Linked DNA regions of Caenorhabditis elegans. The protein of the gene in region 3 purifies or fractionates together with the protein of the main gene of each other region. This does not show direct contact. Each region holds a gene or a part of one and is shown on either strand. Other genes may lie near its edges.

Region 1 (6,884 bases), on a different chromosome or scaffold from region 3:
TCTTAAAAGTTCCAATGAAACCAAAAAAGAACTTACACATTTCATATTGAATTCTAAACCCTTTTCCTTGTTCAGCTGAATCTGAGTGGAATGTAAGAACTGCAGCTGGATTATTGACTGTCAAAACATTTGGAGGTCTTCTGGGATTACAAGTCTCTTGAACCAATGTTCCATCTCCGTCGTGAATTTTCAAGAAATCATTAGTGCAAGTTCCCATATCAAAAAGATTTCGGTAAGCGAAAACTCGTGAAAACCCAGGAGCTATTCCATACTCCACTTCATTTCTCGGCAGAAGTCTGCGGAATGAACGATCTGAAACTGAGCGACTTTTCAGGAAATAATATATAAATAAACTCACAATGCATTCCCGGCCCATTGGCACTAAATCCAGACTTGACATCATATTCATCAAACGTCAGTTTCAATACCATATCTCCACTATATGATCCATTGCTAAGTGTTCCATTAATTTTCCATGTGCAATCCATGTTTGGCGGATACAAACTACCGTAGTTGGGTGATTCAATGACACCAGAAAATGAGAAATCATTTGAATCGTTATCGATTTCTGCTCCACATTCCCTATCTGGTGTGGTGAATTTGTATTTTAAAACAAATCCACGGATCGTTTCAAGACCCGCATCACTTTGTAGCATATTACTGATGAATGCAACTGTGAGGAATGGTCCAGTAGTTCTAACGACTTGGGATTCAAGAGTAGATGAACATGTTTCAAGAATACGATGTTTATCATATGTAGCATAACCATCGTATATTTCCAAAGAGTTTTGATCGCATTTTTCAATGTCTTTTGAATGCATTGAAACTGGAGGAATAGTGACTTCGATTATTTTCCCACCGGGAGCCGAAATAAACCATTCACAGACAATGTCTTGGTGGTTTTGTGGGACGGAGATTATTCCTTCTGGTTTTGAGCTACGGTACCCGCATTCTGCAAATAATATACTTCCAATTGAATTATATAAAAATTCCACTAACTTCTTTCAACGGTTTCCCATTTGATAGTAAAAGAACCTTGGGTTCCTCTAAATCTCAGCATTGCTCCTGTTGAAGTCATTGTGATTGGAGTGTCACTCAGCGGTGCGTGAACACTGTGTGAATCTCCACAGAATGTTGCAAACTCAGAAGAACTGTCTTCTGGTCCATCGTATAATGTCAAATTCGCATCAGTTTTGGCACAATCTGTAGGTCCTGATCCTTCTTGCGTAAATTTATCAAATTCTGTGAAAGTCATTACAACTGCAGAGTTTGCAGCAGGAATATTGAAGACGAAATCACATATGGACAGTTCCGTTTTATTCGATCGTTGTAGGTCGAATGTATAATTTCCGCTCGAATGAGTGAAGTGAGAGCCACAGTCTACAAAATGAGTTTTGTTTTTGAGGTTTCAGTCTCTGCTGATGTCTACTTGACAGTGACTGCGCAGTCCCAGAACAACCTTCGGTGGCTAACTGTTACTCTTATTTGTAAGGAGCAGAGAAACCAGTCAAGTTTTGAGCAGGCAGTGGCGGTATCGGTAAGACTTTGGTACAGGCTTTGGATCTAACTTCTGATACTGTAGAATCTTGACTGAAGAGCGTGGCATGGTGAGTCCACTTTTTTAACAACTCTGCCTGTGAAACCTACCAGCAGTTAGATCCAAAATATGTTCAAAAGTCTATACTAAGTTTGCCCAAGGCTAAAGCTGGGCCGCTCCTTGTACAGAAAACAAGCAATAAAAATTTTATTAATGAATTTTCTTACGTTCTTCCTCTTCTTCGCATGCCCTACCAAAGAAGTGCTCTGGACAGTCGCAATAAGCAGAATTTTCAACGGCAATACAAGTTCCTCCATTTTTGCAAGGATTCGTTTGGCACGGTGATGTTTTCTCACAGAACTTTCCAAGAAAACCAGCTTCACATTCACATTTATATTCGGTGTCGCTTGTTGGCTGAAAACTATTTTTTGAGTAACAGTGCTTACTTGTCTTCATTTGTGTTACCTTGCATTTCCCAGCATTAACACAATTGTGGTTCTGGCAAACGTTACTTGCTGACTTAACACATCCTTCCTCTCCAATTCCGTCACCAACATATCCATCTGGACAGTAGCAAGTGTAGTCTCCAACAGCACTGTATCCGTCGTCAGTTACCTTGCATGTTGCTAATTTATGGCATTTGTTTTTGACACAACTATCATCTTTCACACAATTTCCTCCATCGCCGGAGTATCCAGTCGGACACGAATCACAATAATAACTGCCAAGAGTGTTATGACATTTTGAAAGCGGAGAGCATACACGAATTTCACCTTCACATTCGTTGACATCAATACAAACATTTCCATCGGCTGAATTTATTTTACTTTTTGGATTTCAATGACAGATATTCAGTACATTTTTCGACACCTTCAAACTAACAAATTCTGATTTTTCACATTGTTAAGCCGAAGTTTATAAGACTTTCTCTCCTCATTCTCGGAACTGAGAAATCCAAACAAGTATTTTCACAAAAAAAGCTTGAAATTTGTAAGTGTTATACAGGGTAGGCACTTGTTCAGGCGTACGTGTCTACCTCATGCCTACCACACACCTATTGACCTATTTAAATGCCTACTTACCTATTTTATGAAAACGTTTTGGATACGAGTATATATTTTCTAGACAAGAATTAAACCAAAAAAATTATTTTATTTTTGATTTGATTGAACATATATAATTCTAACTTACTTTTATATCCTTTTGGACATCCGGAACACACAAACGATCCAGGCAAATTAATACAATCAACTCCTGGATGACATGGATTTGATTCGCATTCATTGACATCAACACACGTTGGATTGTTCTTATCACTTGAAACCTTGAAACCCCAATCACAAATACACTTGTACGTAGTTGTATCGGAAGATGACTGACCAGTTGGATCCACAATACTCTCAATACAATGCCCATGTGGACCACACAATTCAAAAGTTTTCGAGCAAGCGGACATATGATACTGACAAAGAGATCCATGATATCCGGATTGGCACTGACATTCAAATCCGCCACGGTTATTGATACATGTTCCATTGTTCTGACATCCAGCAGTTGTACCATTGTATACTGAGCATTCATCGATGTCAGCTTCACAAGTTGTACCGGTGAAATGTGGAGGACAAAGACAAGTGAATTTGGCGCCAAAAGATGGGATACATGTGCCTCCATTACTACATTTGTTCGGATCGCACGCGTTTATTGCTATCAATTTGTTGATTCCTCTTGAAAGTTAACAATTTATAAAAAATAGTCAAACCTAACTTGTTGTGTCTTACATGATTTGACGTGTCATTTTCACCAATAATCCCCGTCTCCTCATGTCTCTGGCCATTTTATCAGTTTTCCACTTCTTCAAGATATTCACTTCGAGTGTCATATTTCGAAGCTAAAAATTGATTTCAAAAAGAGAAAAAAATGTATGGAATTACCGCTACTAGATAATGTTTTGCAGAATTTAAAACCACTCTCATTGCAGAAGTCTGCGTGTCCTGGCGACTTTTCAAAGTGGTGAACATTTGAGAAGTGTTCTCAATACGTCCAACAAGTTGCTTGAAAGATGCCTGAAAATTATTTTGAATATTGAAAATTGTAATTCGAGTTAATTTTCAAAAACTTCCATAGTTCAAACATTTTCAAACAATTATTCATTTTGAAAAGTTTTATAAAAATAATAGAACTTAATTATCAAAATTTACGTGACCGTTTCTCAGGAAAGTGATTCTTTTTAAATAGTTGTCAAAAAGTAAATTTTTGCGTGATCTCCGACTATCTAATTCCAACTCTTACTCGTAATCCACGTTTCGTTCCTTTTTCTAATCTGACCGTCTATGTTTTAATCAGTTCTTGAAACATGGGCAAGAAGAAGTCTGATACGGCATCCGGTGGAGCTATTCCAGAAGGAGACAATGAGAAAGGAAAGAAGGTTAGTTAAATTTTTCATTATAGTGTTCCCAGAAAACCTATTGATTTTCAGATCTTCAAACAACGTTGCGAGCAATGTCACGTTGTCAACTCATTGCAAACAAAGACTGGACCAACATTGAACGGAGTGATTGGAAGACAATCCGGACAAGTTGCTGGATTTGACTACTCGGCTGCCAACAAGAATAAAGGAGTTGTATGGGACAGACAAACACTTTTCGACTATTTGGCTGATCCGAAAAAGTACATCCCCGGAACTAAGGTAGGATTTTCTAGGAAGTGCGATGGAGTATTAATAAGAAATTTTCAGATGGTCTTCGCTGGTTTGAAGAAAGCTGACGAACGAGCTGATCTCATCAAATTTATTGAAGTGGAAGCTGCCAAGAAACCATCGGCATAAGCCTCTACTAAATAAGAAATCTGTGTGTTAAGCAAAGCAACGTATCAAAAATAAATGTTTTGTAGAAGCTCGTTCATTTTTTTTTTGGATAATTTCAGCAGTCTACCTACAATATCTGGAAGTTTGGAAACATCTGTTTCGTCCACATATATTCTTCCATTTCCAGTCGTTTTGAACGTTATATTTTTATCCTTTCCGGCATGCAACCACACATTTCCATCAACCATTAGAATACGTGATCTGAAATGTTTTCGGACGTAATTTTGAAAAAAAATTAAAGGATTCGTTACCTTGTTTCATATGAATCTTCGATGTGTATTTCTTCATAGTCAATTGAAGATACATGATTTAATAAGCCGAATAGTATTAATGAAAGAAATAACTGTAAGTTAGGTATCATTTGTTGCGAAAATGAAATGAAATTAATGGAGTTGCACGGTGGAGGGTGAATAATTTGTTTATGTCATTGATACCTGATTGGAAATTGAGACGATCCATTTGTTTATAACAGATTATGTAAGAGAACACCTGCCAATGTTTAGGTTATGAGTAACTAGTGGGCCGTTGAATTTGTGTTCGGTTTTAATGAAAAAACTGTTAAGCTGGCTGAAACTCAGGTATCAAAATATGATGGTGTTGAATACTCTCCAAATAATCGCTCTAAAAAAGTGTCAGGCTGTACAGATATAACAAATGTATCTTATTAATAGTTCAAAAATAATATTTCGTGCAAACTGATTGGTCTGGCATGTGGTAAACAAATAAGCCAGCAGTTGAGATGTAGGCAGGCACGAGGTAGGCACGAAGACAATTCCACTGCTTTAATTGGAAATATTTTCAGGTATTAATCTGCTTTTTCAAAAATATTTTCTTACACAACATTTCGCATAAATTTCGAATCATTTATTGTTTTTTTTTTCAATTATTTTCGTTCGCATAAAGGCAGTGTGAGGAATGAAATCATAATATGAAACAACGATGGGCTGGGCAAGTTCCGTAATACTCTTCTATTTTCTTCCATAAGCATAATAATAGTATGGAGATGTATAATAGTAGTAAGGTGGCTGAGCAGCCACAGCTCCAGTCTGTTGAGTTCCTTGCTGATGATTTTGAGTATTTCCAGATTGATCATATTGAGGCGTGTATTGCTGTTGTTGTTGTGGTTGTTGCTGCATTTGGGATGATTGATCATATTGAACCTGTTGGGTATTTCCTGATTGATCATACTGTACTGGTTGCTGTTGAACTCCTTGTTGGTATTGAAGAGTTTGTTGTTGCTGACCCTGTTGCGTTTGTTGTGGATAATACTGTTGTTGTTGTTGTTGGGTTCCTTGAGCATACTGTTGGTTTTGTTGTGGTTGCTGTTGAGCATAAGCTTGTTGGGAAGCTCCACCAGCCTGAGTTTGCTGAGCAACTCCAGTGGTACCAGCAACTGCAGCGGTTGGATAATAGTAATAGTATGGTGTGTAATAACTTGTTGGATAATACAAGTATTGGGCAGAAGCCACAGCAAGAAGTGAGCAAAGAGCAAGGAGGCTGAAAATTTACGAATGAATGATGCACATCCTACCTAATGATAACATAAATCGTTTGCTAGAAAACTTACGTGTTCATTTCGTTCGATTGAAGTGAGCAGAAATGGTGAAGATTTTTCGTTTGATCATTTTTATACCTTATTTCAATGGGTGTGTCTAACCCAATACTGTCATCATCAGTTGCATTCCGAAAAAAACTGCGAAAAAACTCCACGATTGTATGTTTTTCTTTTATTCCATCCATGCCAACCACAAAGTTACTGAGTAAACTCGAGGTCAAGAGAAAAGAGCCCAATCAAAAGAAATAGTGAGAAAGCAAAGAGAGCAAGACTCTGAGTTTGTTGACTTTCAAAAGGACTTCATTGAGAATGGCAGTTGGCGGCAAGCTAAAACGGTTCAATTTGATAATGGTGATAATGATCAAGGCTCAAGATTGATACCTTAGATTGATATTTAATTAAAAGTGCAAGATGCTAAATGGCTATAGTAATAACATTATCAAATTACAAATCTGTAAAACTGACTCATCTGAATCTAAACAATGGGTCAAATTTCTAGTAAGCTCGAAGTTAATAATTACTAAATAATTTTTAACAGAAAACTTTGAGCTTTGAGCACGAAAAATTCGACGACTTTTCATGTAAATAAACGGCTGGAAAATCATTTTCAACTGGTCTAACGTTGTTATGCCAAAAATGATCATTTTCACGGTTTGAACCAAAATTATAAAGAGTTTAGTGACTTTTATGTGATAAACTTCTACAGGGATCTAGCAAACATTATTTTAGTCAATCTCTGAACCTTGGATACCTTCTAAGTCATATGAATCAATAATAACTGTGATCAATTTATGGTCAACCCATGTTTCCAATCTTATTAGTAATATACAATTCCACAAGAAACCACGATAAAGACCACGGGTAAACACTACATTTTTTGTTTGTAAGTCATTTTGTGTTTCTGAAAAATAGCAAACAAAGCAAGGATG
Region 2 (11,697 bases), 8.8 Mb from region 3:
GTACGCTGGACCGAAATTCTACGATAATTGGTTCCCACAATGGATGTCCAAGTGGTTCTGGTAAATACCATTCATCTGGATGGATTGGCAAACTAATCTTCGAGTTCGTGTCCTGCTCTAGGCCCCTATCAATAAAACATCATTTTCTTTTTTTTTTTGTTTTCATTTTTAGACTGTTAGTTTTCGAAAATGAACGACAGGCCTTTGGTTTTTAAAAGTCGTGTTTGTGTATTGTTTTTCTCTTCTGGAATTTTATGAAATGAAGATGTAAATTTACGATAAAATTTCAAATGAAACGTTTCTTTTCAGAAATTTCATGTAAATAAATAGAGAAAAATGTACCGTAGTTGTTTCAAACTTAAAGGCGCAGGAACAAAAATTGAGCGGTGGGTCTCGCACCGAAAGTGTGAACTACGGTGTATCGTTCGCGCGGCCAACTCATTTTTGGTTTCACCTCAACCGTTATCGGATTTTTATTTGTTTTTCTGAACGTTCTATATTTTTCCTGTATTTTCAGCAAGATGCTTAATGTCGTAAAGTCGATAAACCGTGCGAAAACACCTGTTCGCACTTATATGAAGTGAGATAATTTATTTTCTAACGCCATTTCACTAATTTTATCAATTTTCAAAGAAAACAAGTGAGCGCAACCACCAATTTTGATGTCGTTGATCACACTTTTGACGCGGTTGTTGTGGGAGCAGGAGGAGCCGGTTTGAGAGCTGCGATGGGACTCTCCGAAGGTGGAATGAAAACTGCCGTCATTACGAAGCTTTTCCCCACAAGATCGCACACAGTCGCGGCTCAAGGAGGTGAGCCGCTCAAAGTATACGAACAGAATTTAAATTTTGATTTTTAGGTGTGAACGCCGCTTTGGGAAATATGAATCCAGATAACTGGCGCTGGCACTTCTACGACACTGTAAAAGGGTCCGATTGGCTTGGAGATCAAGACGCGATTCACTATATGACTCGAGAAGCCGAAAGAGCTATTATTGAACTTGAAAATTACGGTCAATAAGATTCTCTAACATTAAAAAACAACAATTTTCTTGCAGGAATGCCTTTCTCGCGTACAACAGACGGAAAAATTTATCAACGGGCTTTTGGAGGTCAATCTAATGATTTCGGTCGTGGAGGACAGGCTCACCGTACTTGCTGTGTGGCCGATAGAACTGGACACTCACTTCTTCATACCCTCTACGGTGCATCTCTTCAATACGACTGTAATTATTTTGTCGAGTATTTCGCTTTGGATTTGATTATGGATAAGGGAAAATGCATTGGCGTCGTTGCACTGGACATTGAAACTGGACAGATTCATCGTTTCCGCGCAAAGAACACTGTCCTCGCCACCGGAGGCTATGGAAGAGCTTACTTCTCGTGTACATCTGCTCACACTTGTACTGGTGATGGAACCGCTCTTACCGCTCGTGCAGGTATTCGTAATTCTGATATGGAGTTTGTTCAATTCCATCCAACTGGAATCTACGGAGTTGGATGTTTGATCACCGAAGGATCACGAGGAGAGGGTGGATATTTGGTCAATTCGCAAGGAGAACGATTTATGGAAAGATATGCACCGAATGCCAAGGATTTAGCGTCAAGAGATGTTGTTTCAAGAGCCATGACTATGGAAATTAATGAAGGAAGAGGAGTCGGACCAAACAAAGATCATATTTACCTTCAATTGCATCATCTTCCAGCTGAACAGCTTCAACAACGATTGCCAGGTACGTGATATTAGTGTTTTCAATTGTTAATAATTTTCTTTCAGGAATCTCGGAAACCGCTCAAATCTTTGCTGGTGTGGATGTAACCAAAGAGCCGATTCCAGTCATTCCAACTGTTCACTACAACATGGGAGGAGTTCCTACGAATTACAAGGGACAAGTTCTCGATTTCACACCTGAAGGAGGAGATAAAGTGATTCCAGGACTCTATGCCGCTGGTGAATGTGCAGCACATTCAGTTCATGGAGCAAATCGTCTCGGAGCAAATTCCCTTCTAGATTTGGTTATCTTTGGAAGATCTTGCGCTCTCACGTTAGTTTCATTTATCTGAACAGGTTTAAACTAAAGATTTCAGTATCCTTAATGAGAACAAACCAGGAGATTCAATCCCGGAGCTTCCGGTAAATTGTGAAGAGAAATCGTGTGACAATTTGAACGGACTTTTGCACTCAAAAGGAGATATTTCATCTATCGAATTAAGACAAAAGATGCAAATGACAATGCAGAAACATGCTGCTGTTTTCAGACGGGGCGATCTTTTGAAGGTAAGTAAATACAGATTTATTCTATTTTCAAAAAATATTGGATATTTTCAGGAAGGAGTCGATAAAATGTCCTCCATCTACAAAGAGCAACAAAATTTGAAGGCGTGTGCCGACTCTGGAAAAGTATGGAATTCGGAGCTTGTCGAAACTCTCGAGCTTCAGAATTTGCTTATCAACGCCAATCAAACCATCGTCGCCGCCGAAAATCGCACTGAATCTCGTGGAGCCCACGCTCGTGATGATTTCCAAGAAAGAATTGACGAATATGACTACAGCAATCCACTTGAGGGACAGCAGAAAAAACCGTTTGATCAGCACTGGCGCAAGCATTCCATCATCGGTATCGATACGAAAACTGGAGCTGTTGATTTGACATACCGCCCAGTTATCGACAAAACTCTCGATAAATCTGAAACCGACTGGGTTCCACCAAAGGTCCGATCGTATTAATTCGTTGTTTTGTTCTTCTTTGTTCACATAATTGTGTTCGAGCTGTATGTTTTTTTCTTTTGTGTGAAATTTATTTGTTTCCTGATTAGAATAAAGTTTATTGAATTTAATAATATATCAATTTAAGCTTATTTAAGATTTATTTCTGGTTTTCAATCCACAAATATTTGCAAATGTTCTTCAAAATATGAAATGTGCAAGTGCGCTCCATGGAAAATCTCTATTTTACGTCATTGTATGAAGGAGTGTTGGAACAAAATTATTCCGAATTCGTTTTGCTTTAATCTTTTTGTATTTTTATAACTGAATTTGATTTTTAATTATTACATAATTAACCATGGACGGAATGATTGCAATGCTCCCTGCTCCACTGCAGAAACTATCGTCGCATATTGATTTTCAAGGACAGAAAGTCGCCGAGAGAACTTACCAGGTAACAAACCACAATTGATTGACTGAAATTACATAAAATAAAGCAATAAAATTTAGGTAATCCTCACTATTGCTGGAATTATTGGCTTCCTCGTTGGATTCTGGACTCAACAGCTTTCATATGCCATGTTCACAGTGCTGGGAGCATCTGCGTTCACAGCTCTCATCATTCTTCCACCATGGCCATTCCTCTTCAGAAAGAACCCGATTGTGGTGAGAAAAAGTTACAGAAATCGTATAAAATGTTTTAATTTTCAGTGGCACACACCTGCGGAACCACAAGAATCTGGAGACAAGAAAAAGGAGACAAAGAAGACGAAATAAATCGGCAATGATGCAAAAACTAAAGAAAAACGTTTTACTCGGGATCTGGTCAAATATTTATTTTAAATTAAATTATTTATGAGCTCTTCTTCATTTTTCTGTGTGATATAAGAATCATCTTCTGAACCATAATAAATTCATTTTCAATCTACAACGATTTTAATATTTTATTGACGTTTTAATGCGACACATTTTACTTTTTTATTCTGAAGTCTTGAATCCTCCTATCCTACTCCCCGTTCAACAGAAATGTACCGCGCTGGAGCGGTTTTACTCCGCGGGGCAACTCGCACGCGGCTTCTTGCCGCTGCTTCAGCACATCAAAGCTTTGCCACATTTTCTCAAAGAAATCAATCGATTTTAATGATGAAATCTATGGAATTAGCAGGAAATTCAGGAGAAAGGAGGTTTTATTCCACTCATGACGATCCAATCGCTGTGGATGACTCATTGGAACTGTACAAAGATTTGGTAAGTTTTTTAGAATTTCAGTCATTAAAAGACGATTTTAATTGATTTTCAGGGAGGAATGTCACCGATTCAAGTGCCAGCCGATATGCCAAATGTCCCAATGTTAGCTATCAATCGATATCCACTATTTCCAGGATTTATCAAGAAAGTTGATGTGAGATTAGATAACGTATTTGGCGGAAAACTGAAAATTAAAATTTCAGATCGTGAAAGATGACAATTTAAAAGCACTGATCAGGCGACAGCTTTCACTGAAACAGCCGTATGCTGGAGTTTTTGTGAAGAGAGACGATGAGTATGTAGTTTTTGAATGGATCTCTTCTTGACTTAAAAATGGAACAATCGCCGAAAAACTAGTCATGTGTTGATATACGGAGCTCGTGTACTCCCCGAGGAAATGCTTTTACAGTTTTTGCCTGATATTTTTGATTTGGAACCATTTTTGTTATTGGAATCATCAAATAACAGAAAAAAATCAATCTTCTATATACCGACTATAACTTCTAAAAAATTTATACACTTTTTCAAAATTGTTTTGTATTTTTTTCAATTTTGCAACAAAAAATGGATTAAAATTGCTGAATTATTTTTGAATTCCCGCGCAAATTAGTATATTTTTTTCCAGAAACAAAGAAGAAACGATCACATCTCTATCAGAAGTCTACCCAACTGGTTCTTTCGTTCAAATTATCGAAGTCCGTGATCAGGGAAGTGTTCTTGAGCTGGTACTCAGTGCTCATCGAAGAATTCGTGCTCTTGAACCAATTGACGAAATTACACCGAAAAATGAGACTCCATTGAATGGAAGACGTGCTCGTGGAAAGCGTGCAGCATCAGCAACATCACCACTCACTCCACCACCATCACCACCTCCACTTGCACCTTCAGTGGCTTCAGTGGCTCCAGAAATTTCAGCAACAGAAGAGAAAGAAGAGAAGACAACACCACCATCAGCAACTGGAGAAAAACAGAAAAAAGGAATTATTATGGTTCGAACCGAGAATGTTGTTGCAGAGCCAGTGCCCAAGAATAATGAAACGAAGGCTACGATGATGGCCATTGTGCAGACGATTCGGTAATATCAAGTTGCGATTATTTAGCCATTTGTACCTCAATATTACGATACCCGGTCTCGACACGACAAACTTATTGTAATCTAAAAAGGATATATCCCTTTGAAGAGTACTGTAACTTCAAATATTCGTTGCTCGGAAATTTTCATCGATTATCATAAATTCTCGTTGAAAATTATATACATAAGATTAAAAAAAAATCGCAAAGTTCGAAAATAAAATCTGTGTCATTACATTTATAAAAAACTTGTGTGTATTGTGTGAAAAGCTATGAGAAATCGACGAAAATTCCGAAAAAAACAATAGTTTGAAATTAAAGTAATCTTTAAAGGCGCACACTTTTTTGAATAACAGGAGAAATGCGACCGGGTACAATAAAATGTATATTAATCATTTTGAATCGAAAATACGGAAATAATCTGCAAAATGTTATGTATTTTACAATGGCCAAAAGTAAAATCGAAAAAAAAAACGAAAAAGATTGTAGTAAAATTATTGAAAAAAGGATAAAACTATAAATTCAACAAAAACTGTGTATATTTCGAGAAAAAAATATAGAAAATTTGCATTTTTTCCCCTGCAAATTGAAAAAAACCTTGATTCCGAAAGTTATTTTTTGATTTTATGAGTTTCCAATTTCCTAAATTCAAATATTATTTCAGAGATGTAGTACAATTCAATCAACTCTTCGGTCAACAAATCAATCTTCTACTTCATCCATCTCAAAATGTAATCGATAATCCAGTTTATCTATGTGATCTTGTTGCAACTCTTGTACAATCTGCAGAAACAAAAGATCTTCAGGAAATGATGGATGAAATTGATGTAAATTTAAATTTAAATTTTTTTAAATGAAAATAATTATATTATTTTTTTAGGTTTCAAAGCGACTCAAAATTGCTCTTCTTCTGATTCAAAAGGAGAAAGCAGTTGCCAAATTGAAGTATGATATCAATAAAGATGTTGAGAAGAAGGTTCAGGATCATCATAGGAAATACTTGCTCAATGAGCAATTGAAAGTAATCAAAAAGGAGTTGGGAATTGAAAAGGATGAGAAGACGACTATTATTGAGAAAATTGATGAAAGAATCAAAACATTGGCAGTTCCAGAATATGCATTGAAAGTTATTAACGAAGAAAAGACAAAGTTGCAGTTTTTGGATCCGCATTCCAGTGAATTTAGTGTCACGAGGTAGATATTGAAAATTATATTAGTTTTATAGAAAAATATATATATGCATTTAAAAGGCTAAAAATGCTCGGAAAAGTAAACTTTTTTCCAATTTTCCAATCGAATTTTTTTTCGAATTCTTTTTCCAAAAATCAAAATTTCTCCAAAAGCTTCCGGATTGTTTATGAAGTGTTCAGAAACCAGCTCCTGGATGTCGTGAAAAATTGAAATGTTTTTTTTTATCGAAAAGTTGACAATTCGACATTTCAATTTAAAAAAATTTCAATTTTCCGGAATATAAAAAAAAATAATAGTTCAGAAATTTTAAACTTTTTTATTAAAACCCCAAAAAATTGTTTAAAATTAAACGAAAACTCCAACTTTCTAAATTTCTATTATTCACTTTTGGTTAATCTATTTATTTTAATTTTCTTCAAAATGAGAACTACAGGATCGACGACCAGGAACTCCGCCCACTCCTTTTGATTGGTTCGCCGATTGGTCTTACAGTTCTCGTTTTGAAAGAAATTCAAAACTGAAAAATATCATTTTTAAGTGCATTTTTTCCTGAATGTCAGACTATTTTAAATGTTTTAAAGCAAAAAAAAAATTGAGTTCCGTTTTTTTTCAGAAACTACCTGGAATGGTTGACATCAGTACCCTGGGGACTTACATCACCCGAGAATCGTCGTCTTTCAGTTGCAAAGAAAGCTCTTGATGAAGGACATTATGGAATGAAAGATGTTAAAGAACGAATTATGGAGTTTATTGCAGTCAATTTACTTCGAAAATCAATTGGTGGAAAGATTCTATGCTTCCATGGACCACCTGGAGTTGGAAAAACTTCTATTGCGAAATCAATTGCGACTGCCTTGAATCGAGAGGTTCAGTTTTTTTTCCTAAACTTTCTCTTGTTAAAATTAAATCTAACATTTGCAGTATTTCCGTTTCTCAGTTGGTGGAATGACTGATGTGGCAGAAATCAAGGGACATCGTCGTACATATGTCGGTGCAATGCCTGGAAAAATGATTCAATGCATGAAGAAAGTGAAAACTGAGAATCCTCTTGTTCTTATCGATGAAGTCGACAAAATCGGCGGAGCTGGATTCCATGGAGATCCCGCATCGGCACTTTTGGAACTTCTTGATCCAGAACAAAATGCGAATTTTAATGATCATTTCTTGGATGTTCCAGTTGATTTGTCTAGGTTTGAAGATGCTTCTCCTCTTGGTTCTATAATTTTATTTCTAATTTTCAGAGTTTTGTTCATTTGCACGGCAAACGAGATTTCAAAAATCCCGGGACCACTTCGTGATCGAATGGAAATGATTGATGTTAGCGGTTATTTAGCCGAGGAAAAAGTTGAAATTGCTCATCAACATCTCATTCCTCAACTCAGAAAAGACACATCTCTCGCCACAGAACAACTGAAAATTGAAGATTCTGCGTTGGAAGAGCTCATTAAGCATTACTGTCGTGAATCTGGAGTCAGAAATTTACAGCAACATATTGAAAGAGTATGTTTTGGTAAAAACAGGACGATCCGCGAGACCCGAAGAACTCGGGGGATGTCCAATTGGGGGGATTACCAACTCGGGGGATTGGCCCCGCCCACATAACCGTGGCTTGCAATACGCCCATTTCTGCAACTGCCGCACGGTTTTAAAACTGTATTTTTCTCAATAGAGCGAGAATTAACAAGAAAAAATAATTTTTAAACCGTGCGGCAGTTGCAGAAATGGGCGTATTGCAAGCCACGGTTCTGTGGGCGGGGCCAATCCCCCGAGTTGGTAATCCCCCAATTGGACATCCCCCGAGTTCTTCGGGTCTCAGATCCGCGCCTCGAGTTGATTGTTCTGTTTCGACAATTATATTTAGATTGCTTATAGAAATTACCTTTTTTTTCCAGATTTTCCGTAAAGCAGCTCTTCAAATTGCTGAACAACAAAACGAGGATGAGGAGCCAGCCGAAAAAGCAACAACTGCTATCACTGAAAACTCAGAAGCCGAACCAATCACCTCTACATCATCTGCAGATTGTTTAAAATCTTCAGCCGAACAAATTGTAGTTTGCACAGAAAACTTGCAAAAGTTCGTTGGAAGACCCAAATTCACATCAGATCGAATGTATGAAGTAACACCGCCTGGAGTAAGCGAAAAAACTGTTTTAAAAACTTAATTCACGTTCCGTTCAGGTGATAATGGGTCTCGCATGGACAGCAATGGGTGGATCTGCACTTTATATTGAAACTGTATTGAAACGACCTGTTGATTTGACAAATGATAAGGATGGAAGTATTGAAACAACTGGAAATTTAGGAGATGTAATGAAAGAAAGTGTTCGAACAGCGTTGACTGTTGCAAAAGGAATTCTTGCAAGAGAGCAACCCGATAACAAATTCTTCGATAAAGCACATATTCATATTCATGTACCCGAAGTGAGCTTAATCTTGAAATAATTTCAACTAACCAATTCCATTTTTCTAGGGAGCAACACCAAAAGACGGACCATCTGCAGGAGTAACTCTTGTCTCAAGTCTTCTTTCACTCGCTTTAGACCGACCTGTTGTGCAGGACATGGCGATGACTGGTGAAATTTCATTAACCGGAAAAGTGCTGCCAGTTGGTGGAATTCGGGAAAAAGTGATCGCGGTGGGTCCTCTGTTCTTTTTTCGTTCAAAAATTTCATTTTTTTTCAGGCTCGCCGTGTCGGAGCAAAACGAGTCTTCCTTCCAAATGAGAATCGTCGAGACTTTGATGATTTACCAGAATTCATGAAATCAGAGTTGGATATTCGATTCGTTTCGCATTATGATGAGCTCTACGAGCATCTCTTCCAATAATACGTGTCCCTTTCTTTCACCCCCAGTTAATACCTTTCAGATAGATTTTGTTGATTCACCTAATCCATTTTTTCTTGTTTTGTTATTTTAAAAACGTTTTGAAAAGAAAAAAGTTCAGGCTATAAACATTTTCCTACTTTTATTTTTGTTTTTTTTTTAATTTTAATAATCTCAAGTTGTTTGATCTTTTCAAATATTTTTCATTTAAATTCTAAATAATATTCTCTTTATTTAAAAACCATTATTTTCAGCTTTAGAAATGGCAATTATCGAAGAAATTTTCGAGGATGAAGAGGATCAGATAACAAAAGTGGATTCATTGAAAAAAGAAGGAAATAATTTCTTTGCGAATGGAGAATTCGAAAAGGCGAATGAAAAATATCAGGTATTGGAATGTTTTGCAAACGTGCGGCGCGGTTTGAAGCTTGTCGATTTACGCAGGATTTTGTACTACACGTGGACAAGTATTAATTCAATTTTCATATAATTTTATAGTAAAGAAAACAATAATTTGAAAAACAAAAATTTTGATTTTTAAAAATATCGAAAAATTACAAACAAGAATTTTAGCTGAAAACTACACAATCATCTCAAAAAAAATCCCCACTTGTCCGAGTGTAGTACAAAATTCTTCGTAAATCTACATGCATACAACGCGCCGCAGACTTGCAAAATTAACGGCTTGATCGGTCTATTTCGACAGTATACAATTGAAATTTTTCCAGGAAGCCATTGCCTCGTGCCCTCCAACATCCACAGAAGTACAATCGATTCTTCTTTCAAATTCAGCAGCTGCACTTATCAAGTTAAGAAAATGGGAATCTGCTGTGGAAGCTGCGTCGAAATCAATTGAGGTACTGAAGAGAGCATGAAATATTACACAGACGCGAAATTTTCCCAATTTCGACCACAAAATACGGCCTTGTCACTAAAATTTGGCGTTAAAATGAATAAAAGTTTGCAGCTTTAAGTATTTCTGAAATTTCCAACAAAAATTTCGATTTTCATTTTTCCTGAAAATCAAAAAGAAAAGGGTTTTGAAAATTGACAAAAAAATCCTTTTCTTTATCAAATTTTGTTTACTTTTACGAAAAAAACATCAGGAAACACATAATTATCTTCTACAAGAGGAAAAATTGGCAAAATTTTAAGATATTTTTCAAAAAATTAAAAAAAAATCGAAATGTCGGAAAACTAATTTCTCATAAATCGAAAACCCGGCTCCTATAGTTGGAAACTACAGTAATCCTCAAAAGGCGTCCTTTTGCATTTAACAAACGGTTTTCGTGTTGAGACCCTTAGATAGCAAAATTTTGCGACTTACTATTAGCTAGTTAGCTTGAAACAAATAAAATCAATTTTCAGATTGGAGCAACCAACGAGAAAGCACTGGAACGACGGGCGTTTGCATACTCGAATATGTCAGAAAAGTATGAGAATTCTATTGAAGATTATAAACAGTTACAGGTATCGATTTTGGTAGATTTCTTTTTGAAATTAGAAGTAAACTTTTTCCAGGAATCTCTTCCAAAACGCCGCGTCGAACTTGATCGGAAAATCGCTGAAATCAATGAGAAAATTAATAATCGAAATGAGGCGATGAAAGCCGATGTGATGGAAAAACTGAAGGGTTTCGGAAATTTCTGTCTATCGCCGTTTGGGCTCTCGACAGACAGTTTTGAGATGGTCCCGAATGGAAATGGAGGATTTTCGGTTCAAATGAAAGGTGCTACGAATAAACAAGAAGGTGCAAGTCAGGAAAAGAAAGAAGAGGAAAATGCATAATTGGCCGACATTCTTTGAATTTTCTGTACATTTTCTATCTGCATTCCGGTTAATAGTCTTCTTGCTTTCAATTTCGTGATTTTAAAGATTAAAATGAACATTTCTATTTGTATTCGTGAAATTTTAATCGCTCACACTAAAATGTTCTCTGGTCTCGAAAAGATCGAAACTTTAAGGCTACCGTATCAGGGATGGAGGGGATCTACAAAAGGGTCATTCCTAAATATATGATAACTCATCTTTTGAAATGAAATTATATCGTTTACTACAATGTAACTACATATAAAATGCAGTTTCGTTCTGTTCATATGTAGTTTGATCTCTGATCTTTGAACTCTCTTTTCTCTAGTTCTGTAGATGTATTGTACTGGGAGTTTATGGAATAACGTTATAAGATATAAAAACACTTTGAATATTCAAAAAAGTCAATTTATTTCCATAGAAAGAGAGCTATTAGGTTGCCTGCTCCACACTTGGCTTCTGCGGATTCTTGAACTCGTTGATCTCAGCCTCCTCCCAATCGTACGGGAATTCCTGTAATTATGATAAATGATAACACTTTTATTGTGTGAAAGACATACATTTTTGCCACTGAAGAGAATCGCGTTGGTGAGAAGTCCGTAGATTTCTGTGTAGTTCGGAGTGTCGGTGAATGAAAGTTTGTCAACCTGAAAAAGAATGGATTGTTAGGGGAAAAGTTGCAAAGGAGTTGCCTACTATTTGCATAATGTCGACGAATTCTGGTGGAAGACCTCCGAGCATTTCACGCATTTGAAGACCATTTCGGCACAACTTTTGATAGTCATGCACTTCTTTTGGTTTCTGGAAAAGGATACATAGAGAAGGGCTTTGATATATGTCAAAAATGCA
Region 3 (11,439 bases):
TCCTCAATTTTTGCTCGAAAATTGTCATTTTTTTGCCTTTTCCAGACCATCTCACAAAAAATGGGCATTTTTAATTTTTTTGGTAAAATGTTCAATAAATAAACGATTTTCTCAAGATTTTAGGTAGAAAATCGCTCGTTTTCCTCAATTTTTGCTTGAAAATTGTCATTTTTTGCTTTTTCCAGACCATCTCACAAAAAATGGACGTCTCCCAGCTGACAGATGCCGAACTACGCGATAGCCTTAAAAGCCACGGGGTTTCTGTTGGGCCAATTGTGGCGACGACCCGCAAGCTCTACGAGAAGAAGCTTATCAAGTTATCAGACGGAAGCATTAACAGTGAGGATTTGAATTTAAATTATTTATTAATTTCTAAATAACATTTTTAAAGTTTTCGAACCTCTAATTTCCAGATCAATCAAATCTCAACGACTCTCAATTCAACGAGGATTCATTGATCATCAGCTCGTCACCGAAGAAATCACCGCCACAACGAGTTTTCCAGAACGTGTCAGCTGCAACAGCGGCAGCTACTACCTCTCCCGAATCGGACAGCGACGATTGCGAGGAGTCGATGCGATACTTGACGGAAGAGGAAATGGCCGCCGATCGGGCATCGGCTCGTCAAGCTCAGAGCAACAAAGGAGGATTCTTGGGAAGCACGGTGAGTTTTTCGCCCTTTTTCTGGCAATAAAAACTTATTTTCTATTTTCCAGATCACATTCACAATTCTCTTCGTCTTCATCGCCGTCTTCGCCTACTTCTTGATCGAGAACGCCGAGCAGTTGAAGCTCGTGGCCGAGACGAATCCGGAGGATACTATTTAAATTATTTTTTAAATTTCTATTTTTTTCTTTGACTGTTGAAATCGCTATTTTTACCCCTCTCCCTCCCCCATCACTCTTTTTCTTTAAATCCTTTCACCCCATTTTCATCACTTCATTTGGATAAACGCTATGAATCTCTCTCTCAGTTTTTACGAGCCCATCAACTCCAGAAGCTAACCAAAATGGTAGGGGGGAAAGGCGTGGTCCCCCCGGCTCCGTTGGGAAATATGACGAATCTGTAGTTTACTGATGGGGGGGGGGGTGGTATAAAAGCCCGACACCTCGACTCGGCGAAACTTATTTCAATTGCCTCCGACAAAATGCTCCGCCACCACAGCTGCGCCCTGCTCATGCTCATCCTCGTATTCGTGGAGGGTTCGTCGTTTTAATACTATTTTTAGGCCAATTTTTAGGCCAATTTTTTTTCTAAAAATTACTTCCGTTTTTTTTACAGTTTTTGCAACACAGTCGCCGACGTTTGACCGTCAGGATCGCGATTACCGGCCACTTCAGGTAGGGAACAAGACATTTTAAAAAAAGTTAAAAATATTATACACACATAAATTGCAGTTCGGCAAGCGAGATGGGTACCGTCCATTGCAGTTCGGAAAACGCGACTATCGGCCTCTCCAGTTCGGAAAGCGAAGCAGCGGCAGCTCTGGACCAGTTGTGCTCGAGCCAATCTGGGAATGGCAATAACCGACCCCGTCTAACTATTTTTCCCTGCTCCGCCATCCAAACCACCAATCGAACGATTTATTTTTTTCTAATAACCAACACAGAGACAGTCGCCAATGAATCATTTTATTGTTGAAGAATTTCTTTTCTTTTTTGCAATTAAAATCAAAACAAAAAACTTTGAATAAAGCTTTTTCTCATTTCGGTTTGATCTACGTAGATCTACAAAAATGCGGGAGTTGAGACGCAGAGTTCTTTGCAGAGTGTTTTGGCAAAAAATTCCCGCATTTTTTGTAGATCAAACCGTAATGGGACAGCCTGACAACACGTGTTTCTGTGGGTCTCGCCACGCCGGCAATTAATAACTATTTTGCTTCGTGGTGAGACCTATTGTGGAATATTCTGGGTCTCGTCGCGATGGAAGCTACTAACACAAACTTGTAATTTCGCTTTGAAAATTCTGGAAAAAACTCTGAGCCGTGACGGGACCCAGTCTAGATTATCTTTTTGCAAACCAGTGTGCGCCTTTAAGGAGTACTGTAGTTCAGGGGTGGGCGGTAAACGATTTTTTTCCGGCAAATCGGCAAATTGCCGGAATTTTAAGTTTCCGGCAAACCCGCAAGTAGCCGGAAAAACAACAATTTTCCGAAAATTTTCGGCAAATTGTGATTTTGTTTTTATTATTTTTTGGAAATTTTGGAATTTTAATTTCAAATGGCAAAATTAAACGCATCCTATGAATTTTCCTACATCTATTTTGAAAATTAAGCAAATTTTATGAAAATATCCTTTAAAAAACGGGAAAAAATTCAAAATGACACAGTTTTAAGTGTTTCCGTCTTGTAAAAATTCCTCTAAACATTTCCGGCAAATCTGATATCCGGCAAACGGCAATTTGCCAAAAATGAAAATTTCCGGCAAATCGGCAAATTGCCGATTTGTCGAATTTGTCGACAAAAATTTAGGAAAACGTCAAGAAAGAGGCATATTACCGAGATGAGAAATTCTGCTTCAAAAAATGCTGAAGCCGGTCTCGAAGCGACACATTTTCATTAAATGCGAAAATATATGTGCGCCTTTAAAGATTACTGTAATTCGAAAATTTTCGTTGCTCACTTGTTTAAAAAAAACATGGGTTTTGATATTTTAAATTTGGTTTGTCCAAAAATTTTGGTATTTATTTGAATAGATTTTTCTCGAAAATAAGAAAATGTGTGAACTACAGTAATCCTCAAAGGCGCAGACCGTACTGAACATCATCGAATCCCTTATCTATCAGATTCCCAGTACACCATGCACGCAACACGTGGCGGCGGGCAACACAGAGTATGGTCAACATGTTAGAGACGCAGACAGTCATATAAATATTATTTTGTTTGTTATAGGTGGTGGTGCCCCTATTGTCTTTTCTACAACTTCCAATTTCCTATTATATAGTTTCAGAAATTCGTTAAAAATGGTCTCAAATGAGCAGCTCGCCGAGCAATTCGTCAAATTGTATGGTATTGAGCCAGAAGTTCGTGTCACGTGTCCGGGCCGTGTTAATTTGATTGGTACGTTGTTATTGGTCTTGCCACGATCGAAACTTTCGCAGAAATATATGTTTCTCTGGAAATTTTGCTTTACTGTATAAAAAATGTATTAAAAATAATAAAAAGCATTTCGAAATATTTCCGCGGTTACGGTAGCTCAAAATTTTGAAGTTTCAATCGTGCCAGGACCCAAAAAGTGTTAAAAGTCCCGGGTTTTTTTCCTATCAGGGTTCAGGTATCAGGGACACGTTGAAATTATAGATTTTCTCCTCAAACACCTAAAATTGTATTTTATAAAATAAAAGATAATTTGAAATTTGAAATTTTGACTATTACGGGAACACAAAATTCTGAGAATGCATATTGCACAACATATTTGACGCGCAAAATATCTCGTAGCGAAAACTACAGTAAGTCTTTAAATTACTACTGTAGCGTTTGTGTCGATTTAGCGGCTCATTGGTCATTTTTAACCGATTTTCAGTACTCTATCGATAAATAAATTATTTATATTCACCTGAGCCCGTAAATCGACACAAGAGCGCTACAGTAGTCATTTAAAGAGTAGTTTTCGTTGCGAGATATTTTGCGCGTCAAATATGTTGTGCAATACGCATTCTCAGAATTTTGTGTTCATGTAATACAAAAAATTAAATCTTCTCCTCGGGGAGTACACGAGCCTACATAGATCGTCATGGTTAACTGACCACAGACTTGCAAAAATCATAGGAACTTGAAACAATTGAGAGAAAAATGACACTTTTTTATTTTGAAAAATGAAAGTTTAGTTGCAAAACTGCTGCCTTAGGTCTTGGCACGAATGAAATTTTATCAGCTACACGTGGTGCCAGGCTGTCCCATTACGGTTTGATCTACAAAAAAAAGCGGGAATTTTTTTCCCAAAAACAGGTGACGTCAGCACGTTCTTCACTATGCGAAATCAGTTGAGAACTTTGCTTCTCTTCTCCCGCATTTTTTGTAGATCAACGTAGATCAAGCAGAAATGAGAGTTTTGACACCATGTGCAGCTACCGTAACATTTCCAGGCGAGCATATCGATTACCATGACTATGGTGTCTTCCCAATGGCCATCGACGCGGCGACCACAATTCTGGCCGCAAAAAACGACACGAATTCGATAGTTTTTTCGAATTTCGACTCAAAATACGAATCATGGAGCTCACCAATTCCATGCCCATGGAAAGGATGTACTTCACCAAAATGGTTCGATTATTTGCTGTGTGGATGGAGGGGAATTATGAATAGAGAAGATGGACAAGAACAATTCGGAATGAGCTTCTTATTATACGGAACTATTCCTCCATCTTCTGGTCTTTCGTCCAGTTCTTCGTTGGTTTGTGCGTCGGCGCTGGCCACGTTGTCGTTGATTGTGGATAATGATCCTTTTGAGCATATTTCTAGGTTTGTAGAGTTTTTTTTTTTGAATTTTGACAAAATTTTTCAGAATTTTGGGACCAAAAAAAAACTCACTTTTCGAAATGGCAGAGTTTGCCAAACTAGGCCATTTTGGGTCGGAGAGATTTTGTGTAGATTTAAGGCGCGTTGCGTGTCGCGTCGCGGCACGTTTTTATTTGTAGAACTGATTTATTTGTCCGTGTGGAGTACACGACACTTTTCCACGCGTTGTCCGGCAGGCGATTGTCAATGGAGCGCGAAAAATTCAATGGCCAGAACCCCGTGTGTCTACCGTATACCTGGACGTTTGGGCGCGTTTTCCTCAAAATCGGATGATCCAGTTTTTTTGTTTTTTGTTTTTTTTGTGCACATGAAAAATGTTCGAAAAAAAATTCTAAATTTTTTGGACCAAAGCTTTTTTCCTTAAAACGCGCCCAAACCTGGCTTAACTCAAATTATCAGTAGAGCGCATTTGTATGGATGTACCACTTGCCGGGACGTGATATTACGGGAATCCAAAATTCTGAGAATGCGTATTAAGCAACATATTTGACGCGAAAAATATCTCGAAGCGAAAACTACAGTAACCCTTTAAATGACTACTAAAGGTTGATTTACGGAGCTCTCGATTTTCGAAATGTTTTAGAACTTCTTTACGAAAATCGACAGTGATTTTCAATTTTCCGTCGTTTCTTCGTATTATTTTCTCATTTTTTGCTCAATTTTAATATTCTAAATGCTTTTAAAAATCCAGCCCGTAAATCGACACGAACACTACAGTAGTCCTTCAAAGGGTTACTGTAGTTTTCGCTACGAGATATTTTGCGCGTCAAATATGTTGCGCAATGTACGCAAAGTACGCAAAAAACATAATATTTTGCATTGAAACTCGAAGTTTGAATTTTTCTTCCATGTAGATTTCGGAACGCAAAATAAATCAAAAAATTGAAAATTTTTTTCACGGGGTTCTGACATTCCTCATTGCATTTTTGCGCTCCATTGACAATCGCCCGCCGGACTGGGAAAGTCGTGTACTCCACACGGACAAATACATTTAGTTTTACAACTAAAATCGAGCCGCGACGCGGCAACGCGCCGTAAATCTACCACCAAATATGGCCGAGCTAAAATAGCCTAGTTCGGCAAAAACTCTTCCATTTCAATTTATGAGGCACGTGGTGTCAGTGCTTCATTTCGATTTGATCTACGTAGATCTACAAAAAATGCGGGAGAAGAGACGCAGAGTTCTCAACTGATTTCGCATGATTAAGAACGTGCTGACGTCACATTTTTTAGGCATAAAATTCCCGCATTTTTTGCAGATCAAACCGAACGGCCTGGCGCCATATTATAAGAATCGCGTGAAAATAATTTCAATAACATCGTGGGCCCTTTTTCCATAAAAATATTTTTTTTCCAGAAAAGACTTTGCTCATTTATGTATCGAAAGTGAGCCACTAATCGGAACACTAAGCGGTGGAATGGATCAAGCCGCCGAAGTTCTCGCATCCGAAGGAACGGCTCTTCGTATCGATTTTAATCCGCTTCGCTCAAAAAACATTCAACTTCCGAGTGATGCGGTTTTCGTCGTGGTTCATTCGAATACTGAACTGAATAAGGGTGCCACGTCACATTATAACGAAAGGGTTATTGAAGGACGGATTGTTGCACAAGTACGGCGGTCATGCAAAAAATCAATAAAAATCAGAAAAATTAAGCGAAAAATCGATAAATTTAGGATTTTTTTAGTTCAAAAATTTTTTTCGTTGCAAAAAACTTTTTTTTTCCGAATTTTCTAAAAATCGGAAACTTTTCTCAACGTCGACGTGGTCTCATTTCGTCTCATTTGTGTCTCAGTCTCATTTCGGCTTGATCTACGTTGATCTACAAGAAATGCGGCAGAGTTCTAAACTGATTTCGCATGGTTAAGAACGTGCTGACGTTTCATTTTTTGGACAAAAAATTCCCGCATTTTTTGTAGATCAAACCAGAAAGGGACAGCCTGGCACCATGTGAAGTTACAAAAAAACTACTGAAATATTATAAAACAAACCTCTTGTATCAGTCGACGGGTCTAGAAAATAAGAAATAACTACCCAAAACGCCCATGTTGAAAAACTCGGCCACCAATTTTTTTTTTGGAAAAACCGGTTTTCAAATTGTTTCTGATCTGAAAAAAAAAACAAATTTTTTCAGATTTTCAAACAAAAATTCAATATCACAAGTGGCTCATTTCGCCTCAAAGAAATTCAAACCTTAAGCGGAAAATCGTTCAAGGAAATTTTGAAAATTGTCGAGGAGCTACCGGATGAAGTCAATAAAGAGCAAGTTATTGATCTAATTGGTGCCGATAAATTGGAAGAATGTCTTACAGAGAATACAAGATCATGTAAGCACAGTGTTTTAGCAGAAAAAAATAGAGATTTTTCGCGCTCCATTGACAATCTCCTGCCGGACAACGCGTGGGAAAGTCGTGTACTCCACACGGACAATCACAATTAGTTTTACAACTAAAACCGAGCCGCGACGCGACACGCAACGCGCCGTAAATCTACCCCAGATATGGTCGATCAAAAATGGCCTAGTTCGGCAGAAACTCTTCCATTTCAATTTATGAGGGAAGCTAGAAATCCGTGTACAGAAATTTGAGAATTTTCAAAAAAAAATAGAGCGTGGCCTAGAAAAAGCGAGACATCGGCCACTGATATTTTAACAATTCTAATTTTGTTTTCAAATTTTTTGATTTCCGAAATTTTCTTTTAATCAGATTTTTTCAAAAAAAGATTTAAAAAATTCAGAAATGTTTCTTTTTCGAATTTTTTGGTTTCCAAAAAAACAAAAAAAAACCATTTTTTTGAGTTATTTGAAAAATTTAAAAAAAAAAAATTTCTTTTATTATTTGAATTCCGTAAAATTCAGAAAAAATTCATATTAAAAAAAATATTCGAACTCCGAAACTCCGAAAAAATTGTTTCGAATTTTTTAAAATGGATTTCTGGCTTCCCTCATAAATTGAAATGGAAGAGTTTTTGCCAAACTAGGCCATTTTGGCTCGGTCGTATCTGGGGTAGATTTACGGTGCGTTGCGTGTCGCGTCACGGCTCGATTTTAGTTGACGACTTTCACAGGCGTTGTCCGGCAGGCGATTGTCAATAGAGCGCGAAAAGTTAAATAAGGATGGCCAGAACCCCGTGAGAAAATTGTTAAATTTTTATATATTTTTTTAATGTTTTTTTAATCTGAAAAAAAAAGCATTTTTCGAATTTTTTTCAGAAATTAAACAAAAGAACATTAGGATGTGAAAAATCGAAACAAGACCCAAAATATAATTTTTTTTCAGTCCAAAAATTCAAACTCCGCCCCCGCGCTCGTCACGTGTTCAGTGAGGCCTATCGTGTGGAACAATTCGAATCGGCGTGCGCCCAGAAAAACATTCAAGAAATGGGACGTCTAATGAACGAGAGTCATCGCAGTTGTGCCATTGACTACGAGTGCAGTTGTCGGGAGCTTGACGAGATTTGTCGGCTCTATTTGGACCATGGAGCTCTCGGAGCACGGCTTACCGGAGCCGGTTGGGGAGGATGTGCCGTCGTGTTGATGGCCGCTGATGACGTGGATCGGGTGGTTGCCGAGTTGCCGTCGTTGTTCGTGTCGAAGCCTGCTCAAGGAATTCGGCTTCAACGATTTTAATTGTTTCTTTTTTTTGTATTTTTGTTTTTGGATTTATTAATTTTTCAACAACAAAAAAAAACAGAAAACATATTTTTGGGATAAAATTTGGAAAAAGTCAATAAAACTTTCATCGATTTTTTATTTTATTTTTCTATTCCACAAACTCTACTGGAAAACTATTTTCTAGAAATGTATTTAAAAAGGCCAAAAAATCAATTTTATCACGGGATCACATAATTCAGATAATGCGTACAGTGCATTTGTTTTTCCACTTCTACGACTTTAAAGGGGGGGGGGCGCATTTATGCGGAAGGGTCTTGCCGCGCATTTAGTCATCATTTTTAACAAAGTCTGTTCAAAATTCGCGGAGATCACGCGTAGATCACAATTAATTTGTAAAAAAGCAACAGAAATACGAAATATGAGATAATATTTTGTGATCTACATCAGGGCTGGGACCAAAAAAAAAATTTGGACCAAAAAACAAAAAACAAAAAATTGAAGTTTTTGAAAAACCAAAAAAAAACCAAAAAATCGATTAAATACCAAAAAAACCAAAAAATTCCCAGCCCTGCTCCGTATGTCGCTGCCGTTGTACCGCTTTCAGTATTCCCCTAGGAGTATGACTACCAATTATTATTACAGTGATCCTACGTGACCTCTGGCAGTGCTGTGAGCTCCATTTGAGGAGCGTTTTCTCAAAAAATTCGAATTTCCCGCCAAAAAATTAATGGGTATCGCCACGATTCTAAAGATTTCTAAAAGTTTCAAAACTTTTCTACAAATTTTAGACGTTTCCAGACTTTTCTGGAAAGTTCTAGAGGTTTCTAGACTTTTTAGAAATTCTAGAAGATTCCTTATTTTTCTAGAAAAGGGTAGAACTTCCCGGAATTTTCTAGAGAGTTCTAGAAAATTCCAGATTTTTGTAGAAAGTTCTAGAAGTTTCAAGATACGCCAAAAGACAAAAACTCATTTTTTCTTAAAGTACAGTAATCCTACAGTACTACTACAGCACCCCGACCATATCCTCCAACTCACTCCAAGTCAATGTCCCTTCAAAAGACAAAAACTCACTTTTTCTTAAACTACAATAATTCTACCGTACTCCTACAGTACCCCTACGGTAACTCTACAGAACTACTACAGTACCTCGACCATATCCCCTTACTAACTCCAAGTCAATATCCAAAACTTTGCAGACTACAAAGACGCTACGAGATATTTTGCGCGTCAAATATGTTGCTCAGTACGCATTATCAGAATTTTGTGTTCCCATAATAGAATTATATTACACGCTTACAAAAATCATTTATTAATATTCAATCCAAAATTCATTCAATAACTCGATTTAAATTCGAGTTTTACAATCTGTCTTCCACGGTAGAACATATCGGCTTGGCGACACGTCAGATGATTTCCGCCGAAAAACCTTCTCCGCGATGAAATTTCGATAGCTGGCGTTTTGAATAATCATGGCAACAGTTCCAGGAATGGGTGCCGCCACAAATAAGGAATTTATGAATGTGGAGATTGCTGGAAGTCAAAAAAAATAAATTCGGAAGTTACATGTGGTGTCAGAGTGTCTCATTTCGGCATGATCTACGTTGATCTACAAAAAATGTGGCAGAGTTCTCAACTGATTTTGCATGGTTAAGAACGTGCGGACGGCACATTGTTTTGAGCAAAAATTCCCGCACTTTTTGTAGATCAAACCAGAAAAGGACAGCCTGGCACCATGTGAAGTTACAAAAAAACTACTGAAATATTATAAAACAAACCTCTTGTATCAGTCGACGGGTCTAGAAAATAAGAAATAACTACCCAAAACGCCCATGTTGCCATGAATCTGTGAGATGAGAATCTGAAATTGTCTTACATGATAGTGGAGCCCTAATCTGAACTGTGGTGTCGATTAGAACCTTCTTTTGATGATTAAACGTGCTATTGCTCATTTTTCTCGTCTGTTTGTATAATTCGAAGAGAATTAGACAGCTTGATATAATGTAGATCTAGAATTTTCTTTTCTAATTTTTTTAAAGTTTTTTGAAGATTCCTAAGCCTAAGCATGTGCCTAAGCCTGTGCCTAAGCTTGATCCTACTCTAGGCAGCCCCTAGCCTACTCTAGGCAGCCCCTAGCCTACTCTAGGCAGCCCCTAGCCTACTCTAGGCAGCCCCTAGCCTACTCTAGGCAGACTTAGCCTACCCTAGGCAGACTTAGCCTACCCTAGGCAGACTTAGCCTACCCTAGGCAGACTTAGCCTACCCTAGGCAGACTTAGCCTACCCTAGGCAGACCTAGCCCGCCCCAGGCAGACCTAGCCCGCCCCAGGCAGACCTAGCCCGCCCTAGACGCTCGAGAGCAAGGCCCGGAACTCGAGCGCAAGCCCCGAAAAGCGCAAGCCTCGAGCTCGAGTTGGGTTAGAGGCCATTCGAACGTGCGGTTTTACCCGGCTCCCTCGCACTTAGCGAGGGTCGAAGGCATGCGGCACCCAACAACGACCGCCCAAAATTCACCGATAACCCAGGAAGCTCCCGAAGGCTTGAGGGAGAGAGTTAGCTGGCCCTCCGCCAGGCCAGAGATTCGCTTTCGCAGGACCCTGGCAGACCCCAAAATTCACCGATAACCCAGGAAGCTCCCGAAGGCTTGAGGGAGAGGGTTAGCTGGCCCTCCGCCAGGCCAGAGATTTGCTTTCGCAGTGCTCTGGCTGTGGTGGGACAACAATATGAAGGGAGGTCATCTTCTGGATGTACGGACAACTCACGGGTTCTGCTAGTTGCAGTGGAAAGAATGCAGGTTACTGGGAACACCTATCGATCGTAGAAGAGACGAGCGAGGACGACGCACGTCATCGCCTCCCCCCGTCTTGACGGGAAAGGCAGGCGAACCACAAACGGTAAAACGGTGTATATTTCGATCGAGTGTTTATATGTAGATGGCGTTGGTAGTGATGAGTTCAATTCCAAAAGAAGGAATTTCTCTATTTTAATTTATTTCAGTGGATGGGGTAAAACATATGGAAACTATAATAGAGCACCCAGACATAAAACAAGTTCCTAATTTGAGGGTTGGACTTGCGTCCCTGATTGATAGGGTCAGGGACGTGAAAACCTTTAACCATTGGGTTAGTGTAGAAAATCAACTGAAATCAGCACTAAACTTTAGACGCAAATATCTCAAGTTCTAAATATCGGCGGGAAAAATTGTCTCTTATGTTCGAGAAGTAGTTAATATTTTTCGGGCAAAACTTGGGCAAGAAGCTGGAGCCAAATGCCGAGAAGGCAGGCAGCATTTCGCCATATCGGTGTTCAACACTC

Evidence for each region.
Region 1: the proteins of tag-96 (region 3) and cyc-2.2 fractionate together in Caenorhabditis elegans (co-fractionation; one large-scale study listed by BioGRID). This does not show direct contact.
Region 2: the proteins of tag-96 (region 3) and lonp-1 fractionate together in Caenorhabditis elegans (co-fractionation; one large-scale study listed by BioGRID). This does not show direct contact.

What each region holds. Positions count from the first base shown.
Region 1 is NC_003283.11:12,609,224-12,616,107, reverse strand, and holds cyc-2.2 (putative cytochrome c 2.2), read left to right. Parts: upstream 1-3,889; 5' UTR 3,890-3,890; coding exon 3,891-3,962; intron 3,963-4,013; coding exon 4,014-4,223; intron 4,224-4,271; coding exon 4,272-4,361; 3' UTR 4,362-4,426; downstream 4,427-6,884. Other genes in the region: cubn-1 (Cubilin homolog), read right to left, coding at 37-312, 359-952, 1,000-1,380, 1,765-1,951, 2,003-2,349, 2,729-3,261, 3,316-3,425, 3,469-3,600 and 2 more; ZC116.1 (Prion-like-(Q/N-rich)-domain-bearing protein), read right to left, coding at 5,369-5,897, 5,968-6,140. UniProt on the Caenorhabditis elegans protein: Electron carrier protein. The oxidized form of the cytochrome c heme group can accept an electron from the heme group of the cytochrome c1 subunit of cytochrome reductase.
Region 2 is NC_003279.8:10,674,408-10,686,104, reverse strand, and holds lonp-1 (Lon protease homolog, mitochondrial), read left to right. Parts: upstream 1-3,730; 5' UTR 3,731-3,732; coding exon 3,733-3,954; intron 3,955-4,006; coding exon 4,007-4,108; intron 4,109-4,157; coding exon 4,158-4,249; intron 4,250-4,579; coding exon 4,580-5,029; intron 5,030-5,689; coding exon 5,690-5,852; intron 5,853-5,905; coding exon 5,906-6,219; intron 6,220-6,829; coding exon 6,830-7,082; intron 7,083-7,137; coding exon 7,138-7,406; intron 7,407-7,457; coding exon 7,458-7,716; intron 7,717-8,108; coding exon 8,109-8,348; intron 8,349-8,394; coding exon 8,395-8,637; intron 8,638-8,686; coding exon 8,687-8,851; intron 8,852-8,898; coding exon 8,899-9,042; 3' UTR 9,043-9,183; downstream 9,184-11,697. Other genes in the region: ndua-13 (NADH dehydrogenase [ubiquinone] 1 alpha subcomplex subunit 13), read left to right, coding at 1-64; sdha-2 (Succinate dehydrogenase [ubiquinone] flavoprotein subunit, mitochondrial), read left to right, coding at 522-580, 634-812, 860-1,012, 1,058-1,732, 1,777-2,044, 2,088-2,277, 2,329-2,727; spcs-1 (Signal peptidase complex subunit 1), read left to right, coding at 3,065-3,160, 3,217-3,372, 3,418-3,483; ttc-1 (TPR_REGION domain-containing protein), read left to right, coding at 9,302-9,427, 9,768-9,896, 10,408-10,509, 10,561-10,827; C34B2.3 (Protein kinase domain-containing protein), read right to left, coding at 11,281-11,361, 11,409-11,495, 11,545-11,649. UniProt on the Caenorhabditis elegans protein: ATP-dependent serine protease that mediates the selective degradation of misfolded, unassembled or oxidatively damaged polypeptides as well as certain short-lived regulatory proteins in the mitochondrial matrix.
Region 3 is NC_003279.8:1,842,260-1,853,698, forward strand, and holds tag-96 (Galactokinase), read left to right. Parts: upstream 1-2,940; 5' UTR 2,941-2,961; coding exon 2,962-3,058; intron 3,059-4,083; coding exon 4,084-4,459; intron 4,460-5,873; coding exon 5,874-6,126; intron 6,127-6,649; coding exon 6,650-6,842; intron 6,843-7,793; coding exon 7,794-8,143; 3' UTR 8,144-8,264; downstream 8,265-11,439. Other genes in the region: emr-1 (Emerin homolog 1), read left to right, coding at 201-339, 414-664, 717-827; nlp-12 (Neuropeptide-Like Protein), read left to right, coding at 1,148-1,202, 1,282-1,340, 1,398-1,526; M01D7.9 (7TM_GPCR_Srx domain-containing protein), read right to left, coding at 9,474-9,658, 9,904-9,967.